Mytilus edulis: one gene and its partners. The protein of the gene in region 2 purifies or fractionates together with the protein of the main gene of each other region. This does not show direct contact. Links are inferred from orthologs where the notes say so. Each region holds a gene or a part of one and is shown on either strand. Other genes may lie near its edges.

Evidence for each region.
Region 1: the proteins of E3 ubiquitin-protein ligase RNF185-like (region 2) and transmembrane and ubiquitin-like domain-containing protein 1 purify together in Homo sapiens (affinity purification with western blotting; 3 studies listed by BioGRID and IntAct, with this or other methods). This does not show direct contact. The link is inferred for Mytilus edulis from reciprocal best matches to the Homo sapiens genes RNF185 and TMUB2.
Region 3: the proteins of E3 ubiquitin-protein ligase RNF185-like (region 2) and sigma non-opioid intracellular receptor 1-like purify together in Homo sapiens (affinity purification with mass spectrometry; 3 studies listed by BioGRID and IntAct, with this or other methods). This does not show direct contact. The link is inferred for Mytilus edulis from reciprocal best matches to the Homo sapiens genes RNF185 and SIGMAR1.

What each region holds. Positions count from the first base shown.
Region 1 is NC_092345.1:53,519,981-53,523,746, reverse strand, and holds the start of transmembrane and ubiquitin-like domain-containing protein 1, read right to left. Parts: upstream 2,589-3,766; 5' UTR 2,469-2,588; exon of another isoform or gene 2,413-2,468; intron 1,909-2,412; 5' UTR 1,896-1,908; coding exon 1,057-1,895; intron 1-1,056.
Region 2 is NC_092349.1:12,202,534-12,206,299, forward strand, and holds the start of E3 ubiquitin-protein ligase RNF185-like, read right to left. Parts: upstream 2,743-3,766; 5' UTR 2,579-2,742; coding exon 2,415-2,578; intron 782-2,414; coding exon 650-781; intron 1-649. UniProt on the Homo sapiens protein: E3 ubiquitin-protein ligase that regulates selective mitochondrial autophagy by mediating 'Lys-63'-linked polyubiquitination of BNIP1.
Region 3 is NC_092356.1:46,422,164-46,425,929, forward strand, and holds the start of sigma non-opioid intracellular receptor 1-like, read left to right. Parts: upstream 1-1,551; 5' UTR 1,552-1,622; coding exon 1,623-1,758; intron 1,759-3,766. UniProt on the Homo sapiens protein: Functions in lipid transport from the endoplasmic reticulum and is involved in a wide array of cellular functions probably through regulation of the biogenesis of lipid microdomains at the plasma membrane.

The DNA of each region.
Region 1 (3,766 bases), on a different chromosome or scaffold from region 2:
ATTAGTCTGATATTTTGTGTATTGGAATGTAAGTGCAACAGAACCAAACAAGTTATAAAATTAATACAAATTAATATATATATATACAAAGGTAAGTTCATACAATTGAAAAATAATTTGTAAATGTCATGACCTACGCATTGAAAAATTTTGATAGTTTGAACTTTCATTGTATTGCTATGATAGTTTTACCATGGGTACTAACTATATTTGTCAATACCTACAAGGAACAAAGTTACATCTACATGTATGAGTGAGTTTTTTGGGTTTTTTTTCATTTTTTTATTGACATCTGTACATTTGTTAGTAATGAATGAGGTTTTATATGTTGCTGTGTTACATGTTTGTACATGAATTAGGCTGTTAGTATTCTCTTTTCATTTTTTTTTACATTTGTCATTTGAAGTAATGAATGAGGTTTTATATGTTGCTGTGTTACATGTTTGTACATGAATTAGGCTATTAGTATTCTCTTTTCATTTTTTTTTACATTTGTCATTTGAGAACCTTTACAAGTGTGATAGCTGACTGTGGAATGAGTTTTACTCATTGTTGAAGGCCATATAGTGACCTATATTTGTTAATTGATGAGTCATTTGGTCTATTGATGAGAGTGCTCTCATAAATTTGCAATCATAATGATTATGCTAAAAGTCTTATATAGAACTACAATTCAGCTGGAGTTTAAATTGTTCAATAAATTAGAAATACAAACTGTTCTACAGTGACATGTACATTATTTTGGATAATTTTCAGTTCTTCAAAGTTGATTACAGTACTATATAAAGTATGTATTGAAAATTATAAACAGAGTAAGCAACAAGGGTGTTAACATATTTGCACTTTTGATATTAAGCTGAATTTTATCTACAAATAACTTTAGATCTGCTCTAAATAACCTTTTGATGTCAAGTAACAGTGAGTCACTTTTTAATTATGATCTAAATTGGTTAAAAAACTTGTGATGTCATATTTTACAACAACTTGTGTGATTTAAAGTAATGGCAGACAAATATGCATACAAGTGTAAATATGTGTATTATATATATGTCATACCTTCTAAACTGTTCAATTGTATCCTCTAAAGATGCTTCAACATTTCTCTGAGTGTCATTTAGGTATTTCAGTCGTATCCGAACTCTATCACTCTGACTAGAATTAGTTTCCGATTCAGAGGAAACATTTATTTCAGCACTGTTCAAATTTTCAGTTTCATTTTTAACAGACTCAGTTGTTTTATTGGATTCATTGTTTTGTAAATTTGATGGAAGTTCATTGTTTGATGAATTTGATGGGTTTCTGTCATTTATAACAATGGTCTCTGATTCATGATTTTTATTTTCTTTTTTTGTCTCTATAACTTGATTTTTATCAGAAAAGAATGCAACCCTTCTACGTCTCAGTTCAGTTTCTGTTGTAGGCAAGTCATCACTATCTTCATTTCTGTCCTCTAACACCCTATCTTCCCCTGATTCTTCTGTAATCACATTTTCGTTAGATGATTCTTTTTTGTCTTTTGTCTTTGATACATCATCTGTTTGAACTGGAATTTGACTTACTGCTCCTGTCACTTGTTCGTTTACACTATCAACAGAGGAGGACCTACTGGCATTGTCAGTCTCCTCCTGAATGGATGTGTCCCCTGTTGATTCCTCACTAGAGGTAGAACTTACAGCAGAACTATCACTTGCTTCAACACTGTTAGTCTGTTGCGCATTTCTATTCTGTCTTCTTGTGAAGTCTATTACAATGATACTAAAGAAAGGTAGTTCTTGAATATTTGTTGAAAACCATGCAATACAGAGAAGTAGAAATATTAGAAAAATGGTAAAAACAACAGTAACTTCATCTCCTATCCCTTCAATAAGTGGCATATCTGTGTACAGGTGGTACATACACTTTGAGTACCTGAAAATAAATCAGAAATCTAAATTAATAACACCAATGATTATCTTTGGTTAAATATCTCATTTCTCTGTCATCTTTTATTTATAAAAACATTAACGGTACAAATTTTCCTGCACCAGATGCTTATTTCGACAATGTAACTTTCATAGACTTGGGACAATTTAGAGCTTGACATATACATTTGTAATGTGGACATCTGTATTCATTTGGTTGTGAGAAGCGATCAAGATGTAGACTGTACGTACATTGGTTGCTTTTGTCATTGGGTAGATGTCTCATTGATGAATACTGGTATTCACCAACTACAGGAGATCCAAATCGTATAATGAATGTCAAAACAATTTGTATATCAGCCTATCCCTGTTGGAAATTTTCATCATTGGACAAGATCATCAGATATGAAAATATAACTTTTTAACAAGTGTAAATTAATGTGGGTCAAGGGGGACTGTTTCTTTTTTAGAAGATATTGGAACAAGTGTACAAACTACTTTGTGGATTGACCTATTTCTTTAAAAATATTCGCTACCAGTTTGTTTACTGTTTTCGTAAATATTGACCAACAAATCGCTTCGTCTTCATCGACACCTGTCAAACACAACGCCACCTATAGTTTATCAATCTGGCTTAAATTATTTTTTCCTATGAGCAAAGGCAATAAAGGAGAAACAAAAAGGAAACCAGATGGCAACAATAAATTCATTGTCGGTATACGGAGAAAGACCCAAATTTTACGGAAACCGTGCATCCGCAAAATTAATGAAATATTTTATGTATAATTTTACTAAAAAATGCAATACATCATTTTGACCTTACAACAAAGCCTATACTATTATATGGGTGTGAAATTTGGGGATATTTTAATCCCTTTACTGCACATTTATAAAAAAGAAAACTTATCGGTGGATACAATCTACTCTAGGATACTTTGTGAAAAACTTCATACTAAATTCTGAAAATATATTTTAGGTATAGAAAAAGTACAAACTTTGCAGTTTTGTCTTAATTATGACGTTTTCCTCTGCATTATGACATAGTCAAACATGTTTTAAGATATTTGCATCGTTTTTAAGGTATTTGCATCATTTCCTTTGTTAAAGGGCGCATATGATTGTTCTAAACTTGCTATTTGCAAGGACGTATAACTAACATACGTCCTTGCTATTTGTAACAAAAAAAAAAAAAAACTCTTGGTATGGATCAATTAATATTTTAAGGGAAAATATGTCAGGCATATAAAACCACATACCAGAAAAATATTCAACATTTAAGATCATTTAAATTACACTGGGGTCTGATTGTTAAGGGATACTATACTGCATTGTTGAAAAACAGCTAGATATACATACCTTCATGATTTGATTGATATAAAAATTAACAAGTATGATTTAAGATCACAGGAAACAGCAGTACTCCCAAGAGTTCGAACTACTAAGTATGGCTTAAGATCGTTTCGCTATAATGCTACACAAATCTGGAATGAGCTACCGAACCATTGTCGAATGGAAACATCTTTGGACCAATTCAAAAAATTGGTACAAACATGGGATCCAAGTAACAGCTCATGCCAGTGCAGTGCATGCATAATTGTAGTGTTTATGCCTGTTTTATTTTTACTTTTATTTTTTGTGTGATTATATGATTTGTGCAATCTTATTATTAACTTGTGCTATGTTTTAAGTGTACTATATGCTTTTAACTTATATATGTCATTTATGGTATTTTACTATGCATTATATGTTTAAAATTGTGTTGTTTTAATGACTTTTGTATGTGTGTATTGTATTGTGTGTGTGTGTGTGTGTATTGTATTTTGTTATTAAGTCGATTTGAAAAGCTCACTAGAGCTTGTGTTATG
Region 2 (3,766 bases):
ACAAATATATACTAGTCCAGTGATAATGAACGCCATACTAATTTCCAAATTGTACACAAGAAACTAAAATTAAAATAATACAAGACTAACAAAGGCCAGAGGCTCCTGACTTGGGACAGGCGCAAAAATGCGGCGGGGTTAAACATGTTTGTGAGATCTCAACCCTCCCCCTATACCTCTAACCAATGTAGTAAAGTAAACGCATAACAATACGCACATTAAAATTCAGTTCAAGAGAAATCCGAGTCTGATGTCAGAAGATGTAACCAAAGAAAATAAACAAAATGACAATAATACATAAATAACAACAGACTACTAGCAGTTAACTGACATGCCAGCTCCAGACTTCAACTAAACTGACTGAAAGATTATGATTTCATCATATGAACATCAGGCACAATCCTTCCCGTTAGGGGTTTAGTATCATACCATCATAACATATATGAGAAGAACATAACCCGTGTCATGCCAACAACTGTTTTTAGAATAAATGTGTTTAGTTCCGATGCAAAGACCTTATCAGTGACTCAATATTAACGCCAAAAATGTATGCTTTGATTTTAAAATTTTACAGGTGACTTTTTTGCAAGGTATATTACATTATTATCATGATTATTCTACATGTTCTATAATTCACTGCTTCACATACCTTGGGTCAGTTTTATCGGTTGACCCTCTGCCATAAATAGGTATTACTTTATCTTTATCTATTCCAGCTTTACAAACTGGACACAGTTTTCTGTTAGGTCTTGTTTCTAACCACTGATGCAGACATGGCCAGCTGAAAATGTATTGATTTAAGATAGAGATATGGTTGAATTATATCATATCTAGCTATTTGACACTGCATGATTCTTTTCTGAGTGACAATAAGTTGACTACTTCCGTGAACACTGTACCAGTAATATTTAAAATATAATATTAATGCATGCATATATATGCAAGACAAGTTTTTACCCAAAAAAAATTAAATAAATACACAAAAAAAAATATGGTTAGTCTGTTTCTTCTTCTCCTCCCAATTAGGGAGTAGACTCCTAGGTACAACATGTAAGAGTGAAGAACTTCCTAAAACTTGTGTGCTATGTACATATGGACGTCACTTGAATTAAAATTAATGTAATACATGTAATAAGGAAAATAGTTAACAATAACATACATGTACATATATAAATCATGTACATTATGTACATGTACAGTGTGCATGTCTGTCAGTGACTTGGTCATTTAATAAGTTTGTCTCATATAAATGCATAACATGTATAATGTAAATTGATGAAACAAGTACAAAATGTATGTGTTGTACTGTTGTAGTAAAAGTACAGTACAAATGTAATAAAAATCATTGACTGTGAAAAAATGAATAAATATTATCATGACTAATGAATGTCTTCTTCTGATGATGATATACAATGTACAACTGTATACAGTTACAGCTTCATCTATATTAAAGATCACCAACTGTTAATGTGATTTTTGAATGTTTTAAATGTGGATAATGGATTAAAATGCACATTTATAACCCCTAAGAGTTAACCTCCCAAATGGGTTTTGGATTATTTTTTAAATAAGTTTATATTTGGTGCCAATTTAATTATTTTGAAACTGGAGTAGGATCATAAAGATAAGTCTTCAAAATTTCATAACTGTATTCAGGATTCAACTCTGGATCACCTACATGTACAAAACGTAGCACACTAAGCCACAGCTCTAACACCTGAGTTTAAGGAGTAAGTACAAAATGTACTCAACTTGCATATGGTTATATATATATATATATATATATATATATACAACTCGTCTCAACATCAACCCAACAATGTTAGATCTATAAATTTGCTTTCGCAAATGTTTGGTTCTTCCCTCGCCGGGATTCGAACCCATGCTACTGTGATATCGTGACACCAAATCGCCTGCACTGCAGCCGTCCCGCTAGACCACACGACCAACTGGGCTCTCTAAAAAAGAGCTTTTGCTGGCCGTGTGTTACCTTTCCACGTCAGTTTTAATCTAGCGGCGTACTGCAGTACATGATATATAAGGCATGAAGATGTTATTGTTACAGATCAGCTAAATTATCTATAGTAAAGGATCCTACAAATGAATGTTAGATACAGTCACAGAAAATAATTATATTAATATATATCTACCAGGAAAGGTGAAGCTGTTTCAAACATTATGAAATAGTGACTATGAATGAACAGGTACTGTGAATGCCTTCTTAAAATCATACAAGAGTGACTGCCAATAAGAACCATCAGAAGGCTGATATAAAATGTATCCCCACTCCTTGATCTGGATAACCAATTACAAAATATATATCAACTCGACTCTTGAGTGACATCAGATATGTTTGACTTTTCTTTATTTTGCACTAGGCCTATAAACAATATACAGTGGAATAATATACTTACCAAAACAAATGACCACACATGCTGACAACAGCATCTTTGGCAGTGTCAAGACAAATGTTACATTCATAAAATGTGGAGTCTTCGTTTTCAGGTGTCTCAGATTTGTTCGGCGGAACATCACACCCACCTTCCGCTCCTTCTGGTGTCTGTGTAGTGGAACTCATTTTACTTTACTTAATGCTTTTCATTTCATTAAAACTATATCAATTCTAGTATTAACACCTAAAACGTCGAAAATGTGTTTACATTCTGTTTCTAGAACACAGGAAGTCAATTTTGTTGACGTTCCATTACACATGCGTATAACAGATTTTTAAGATAAAGTGTCAGTTCTATGTTGCCGAGTAAGTAAATAAAACTTTATTTGGATTCGGCATATTGGCAAACAATTCAAGCATTAGCTCTAATGAGCTTTTCACCGAATATAAAAACATATACAATAACAAATAAAACAAGGCATGCAGCATGCAATAAATAATTAAAAGCAGCACCAAAAATTAACTTTAAGCAAATAAAATATACATGTATCTTGCAAAATAACCAAAACATAATATATATGAAGCACTAATTTTTTTTTAATAAAATAAAATCAATATTGCAAATATGACGTTATGTTATGTTATGTTATGTTATGTTATGTTATGTTATGTTATGTTATGTTATGTTATGTTATGTTATGTGTTGTGTTGTGTTGTGTTGTGTTATGTTATGTGTTGTGTTGTGTTGTGTTGTGTTGTGTTATGTGTTGTGTTATGTTATGTTATGTTATGTTATGTTATGTTATGTTATGTTATGTTATGTGTTGTGTTGTGTTGTGTTGTGTTGTGTTGTGTTGTGTTGTGTTGTGTTATGTGTTGTGTTATGTGTTGTGTTGTGTTATGTTATGTTATGTTATGTTATGTTATGTGTTGTGTTGTGTTGTGTTGTGTTGTGTTGTGTTATGTGTTGTGTTGTGTTATGTTATGTTATGTTATGTTATGTTATGTTATGTGTTGTGTTGTGTTGTGTTGTGTTGTGTTATGTGTTGTGTTGTGTTGTGTTGTGTTATGTTATGTTATGTTATGTTATGTTATGTTATGTGTTATGTAATGTTATATCATGTTATGTTATGTGTTATGTTATGTTATGTTCATCAAATATTTTCCAACTGAGTCATAAAAGGGGAGTTAACAAAAAAGTCATATTATTAAATTATTTCATGAAGGAATTTTAATATATATATATATATATATATAAGTTAAAAGTTAATGTATTTGTTCTTTTAAATCAAAATTCATATGAGAAATTAGGTATCTACTTTCCTTCATCAAATTTTGCTAATTCAACTGAAAATCTAAACCTCAGTTCTCTGC
Region 3 (3,766 bases), on a different chromosome or scaffold from region 2:
ACAATAAGCAAAATGCATTCAGGAGTATTGGCCATGTGTCTGATTAGACACATTTTGAACTACAGTTGTGATACCAAACAGGAACTCATACATTGTGGTTAGATTAATTTACTATTTGAAAAGATACAATATGTAAATCATAGTTTTAAAGAAGTCAAATGGTGTAATCATTTCTGGTCATGAATCTTTCAACATTGTCCTCTAAGGATTTCTCATAGGAAGGTATTTAAATGCAATGCCATCCTTAAGTTGAGATTAATTCTACGGAACGATTTGGGAATTGAGATAAACAGACAATAATATGAATTGAAAAACTGCAAAAGTAAGAGCTATTCAGATGTATAAAAGGTCTTTGTGACTGACTAATTAAGTAATCTGAATTGATTTGAGTAGTCAGTTTTCCTACTGATCAGGGTCAGTGCTTCTCTCCGGGCTTCCTTCTGCCAATGAACAAAAAAAAATGATCGCCAATCTTTGCTCCGACTAAGCTAGTGGATAAGCGGAAAAGCAGCGAACACAAATTCCAAAGTCTTTTGTTTGACGCAGCCGGGATCGAACGCACAACATGGGCTTTATTGTGCACAATCTCCAGAATTAGATAGATGACAATACAATTTCAAATTTTCTATCTGAGTTTATATAACGTAACGAAACTATAAAATACAATGTCTTGAAAATTTGTGGTTATATTTATTGCACATTTCCTTCCTAAATTTTGCAGTGTTCGATTTATTAAAAAAAATTATTACATTGGTTGCAATGAATTACATTGATTTTCCAGTTAAATAAAAACCGATAATTTCACATGTGAAATAAACGTGGTTATTTCACTCTCTGACGTCATACAACTATAGGCGTTGTCAAGACGTCGATAACGGCGGATCAAAACAAATTGTGAATGCGTAGAAAAAAGATATAGTTCCTTACATGTTTTATATTAATTTCGTTAAAAAAGCCATTTGCCAATGTAATAAAAAGAATAACTAATTAAAGAATTCAAATATCGAAAAATATTCAACTCGTGACCGAACAACACTGATAATTAACTCATGCGCTACGCGCATTCGTGAATTAATGTGTTGTTCGGTCACTCGTTGAATATTTTTCTCTATTTGAATTCTTCCATTAGTTATTCTATAATTATCTCACTGAGTGTCTCATAGAAAAAGAGAAATAACTCAATTTTACTGAATGTAAGAAATATACGTCTTTGTGATAAATTACTTATTCGGTAAAAATGTTTTGTTTCCTCGAAGGACGATAGCTGAGCTAAGAAATCTTTTAAATTGAGGGATTTCCACCGAAAAATCTGAGTCTTTTTCCATGTTTTCTTTAATATTCTTTTTCAAAGTTACTAGCTTTTGTACTTTATCTCATATTCCCTCAACATGCTCAATATCACAGGAATTAATATATTCGTAATGTTGACCGTTAAATGAAGACGAGAGCTCTAATAGATATTGTTAAAAATATATTTCATATCTTACGTAAAAATATTTCAACATAATCGAGCTTCCTTAAACAGGAAAAGGAAACCCGGATTTAGGTCAACATTTACCAGACTTTTTTTTAAACTAAAATTTTCTTTGTTGACAGTACGTCGTTAATGTTGAAAAATCACAATGTTCTCTCTTATGTCAGCTATTAAGATTATATTTTTCATGTGTTTTGTTGTATTTTGTGTGCAATATTGGATGCAGAACAAAACATTTCTTACTGATCATAAAGAGATTGCAGAAATAGCTCGAAAACATACAGGTAAGTAAAGTGTGTAAAATAAGGTTAATAAATAGGACGTTATATATAAATTATATATGTTACAGGGAATTTGTAAAATCAGTGAATCAGTGATTTTGTAAAATCCCTAACAGTTTCAGTGGTTTTGTAAAATCCCTGAAATTGTTAGGGATTTTACAAAATCACTGAAAATAGAGCAAGAGATTTTGTAAAATCCCTGATAACAATTAAATATAACTTGCTATTATAAATGTGTTTTTCTTTAAATAAAAATAGACTAATGATCACTAATGATTTTGAAATATATTTCTTTATTAAACACTTAGTCTATGAGCTAGAACTAGTGTATACTGATAAAGACTAAATGGCATGTAAACTTATATTTAGACCACTGTGAATTTACTTATTTTTGCACTAGGCAAGTTAGGGTGACATCTACTTTGATACTATTTCGTCCCTACCGCCATGACCTATTGATATGTGAATTTTCTGAACTATGCTGTACATGTCTTCAAGACATCCATAAATTTTTAAAACATCTTCATCTGATGAATACCGCTTTTACCGAATTTTTCAAATCTCCATATTGGAGAACTTCATACAATATTATTAAACAAAATATTTAATTTATTTGGATTACAAGAGTTGAGAAAGTTTAGAAACTTTGTTATATAGAATACATCTATCTGATATATGATCAAAGTAAGTAAAACTTTTTTTATTTTCTGCTTAGTTAGAACCTATTCATAAACATACAGGTACAAAGCAAAGCATCCTTATTATATTTTCTGTTGTCTTTTTTCTTATTATTTGGTGAATATAACTGTTACATGTATTGTGTAGGCAACTTAATAATACTGACAACACTTATTTTCTTTTTATATGTCAATTTTCATGCAGCAATAAGATGATATGCATGTAATATTTGCCACTGGATCACATACCCTAACCCACTCTTATACCTTACATACATGTATGTTTTTCCTTCTCTAATGCCATGTTTGCTCTTGATTTAAAGACATCTGTGCTTGAGCCAATGTTCTACAGTATGTCAGTTATATAGTGCATGAAAACTGCTCTCTTAATATTAAAATAAAACCTAGATTAACCTCAAACTTATAGAGTATTACTGCAGTATGTTTTTTTTTTCACAGAAATTCTAAATAAAAATGAGTGAATTTATTTTACAAATTGCCTGAATTTAATCAGTGAATCTGTAAAAAAGATTTTAATTATTACAGGGATTTTGTAAAATCACTAGTCAAAATCAGGGATTTTATAAAATCACTAATCAGTTCAGTGATTTTACAAATTCCCTGAAATTTCAGTGATTTTACAAAATCCCTAATTTCACAAATTCCCTGTAACATATATATGTCTGTGCATTGCATATGATAGCATAATGTTTGTTATTGTTTATAATGTTATATGCCCCAATGGGGCCCTAATATGGTGAAAATTATTCTGTTCTAATCTATTCTATGCTAGCATATTCTGTATGTATACCATGTAGCTTCAACAGTCAGGGGACTTACTAAAATAAGTGATTTTTAAATCACTTATATGAGTAGCAAATTCGAGGTTTTGTCACAAATTGGGATTTTGTAGTTTTTTCAAAATTTTAAACACATAGGTTTAAAAAATATCTTTTAATTAGTAAAATTAAAAAAAAAAATGAACTTTTTGCTTCTTTTAAGTAGCAAGGTTTATGCCTTTGATGCTATCATTTAGCTGAAAATTCTATTTTAGTTGAAAAAAATGCTATAATAATGGCTTTACATATGAACTGATACTTTCTTAAAAGATTTTTCCCAGCAGTGGGAGTATTTTTCCTGTGAAGTTCAAGGTTTCATCTTTCAGATTATGTAATAAAATTCTACTGTTTTGCGATAAAAAATTTCACTGTTCAGGGGTGTTGAAATTAGTGGGGTTATTAAAAGAATTATACTTAAAGAAGTGATTTTTGGGAAGGAAATTGAGGTCTGATACTTAAACAAGTGATTTTTATGTCATTATCCTAGACTCAGTA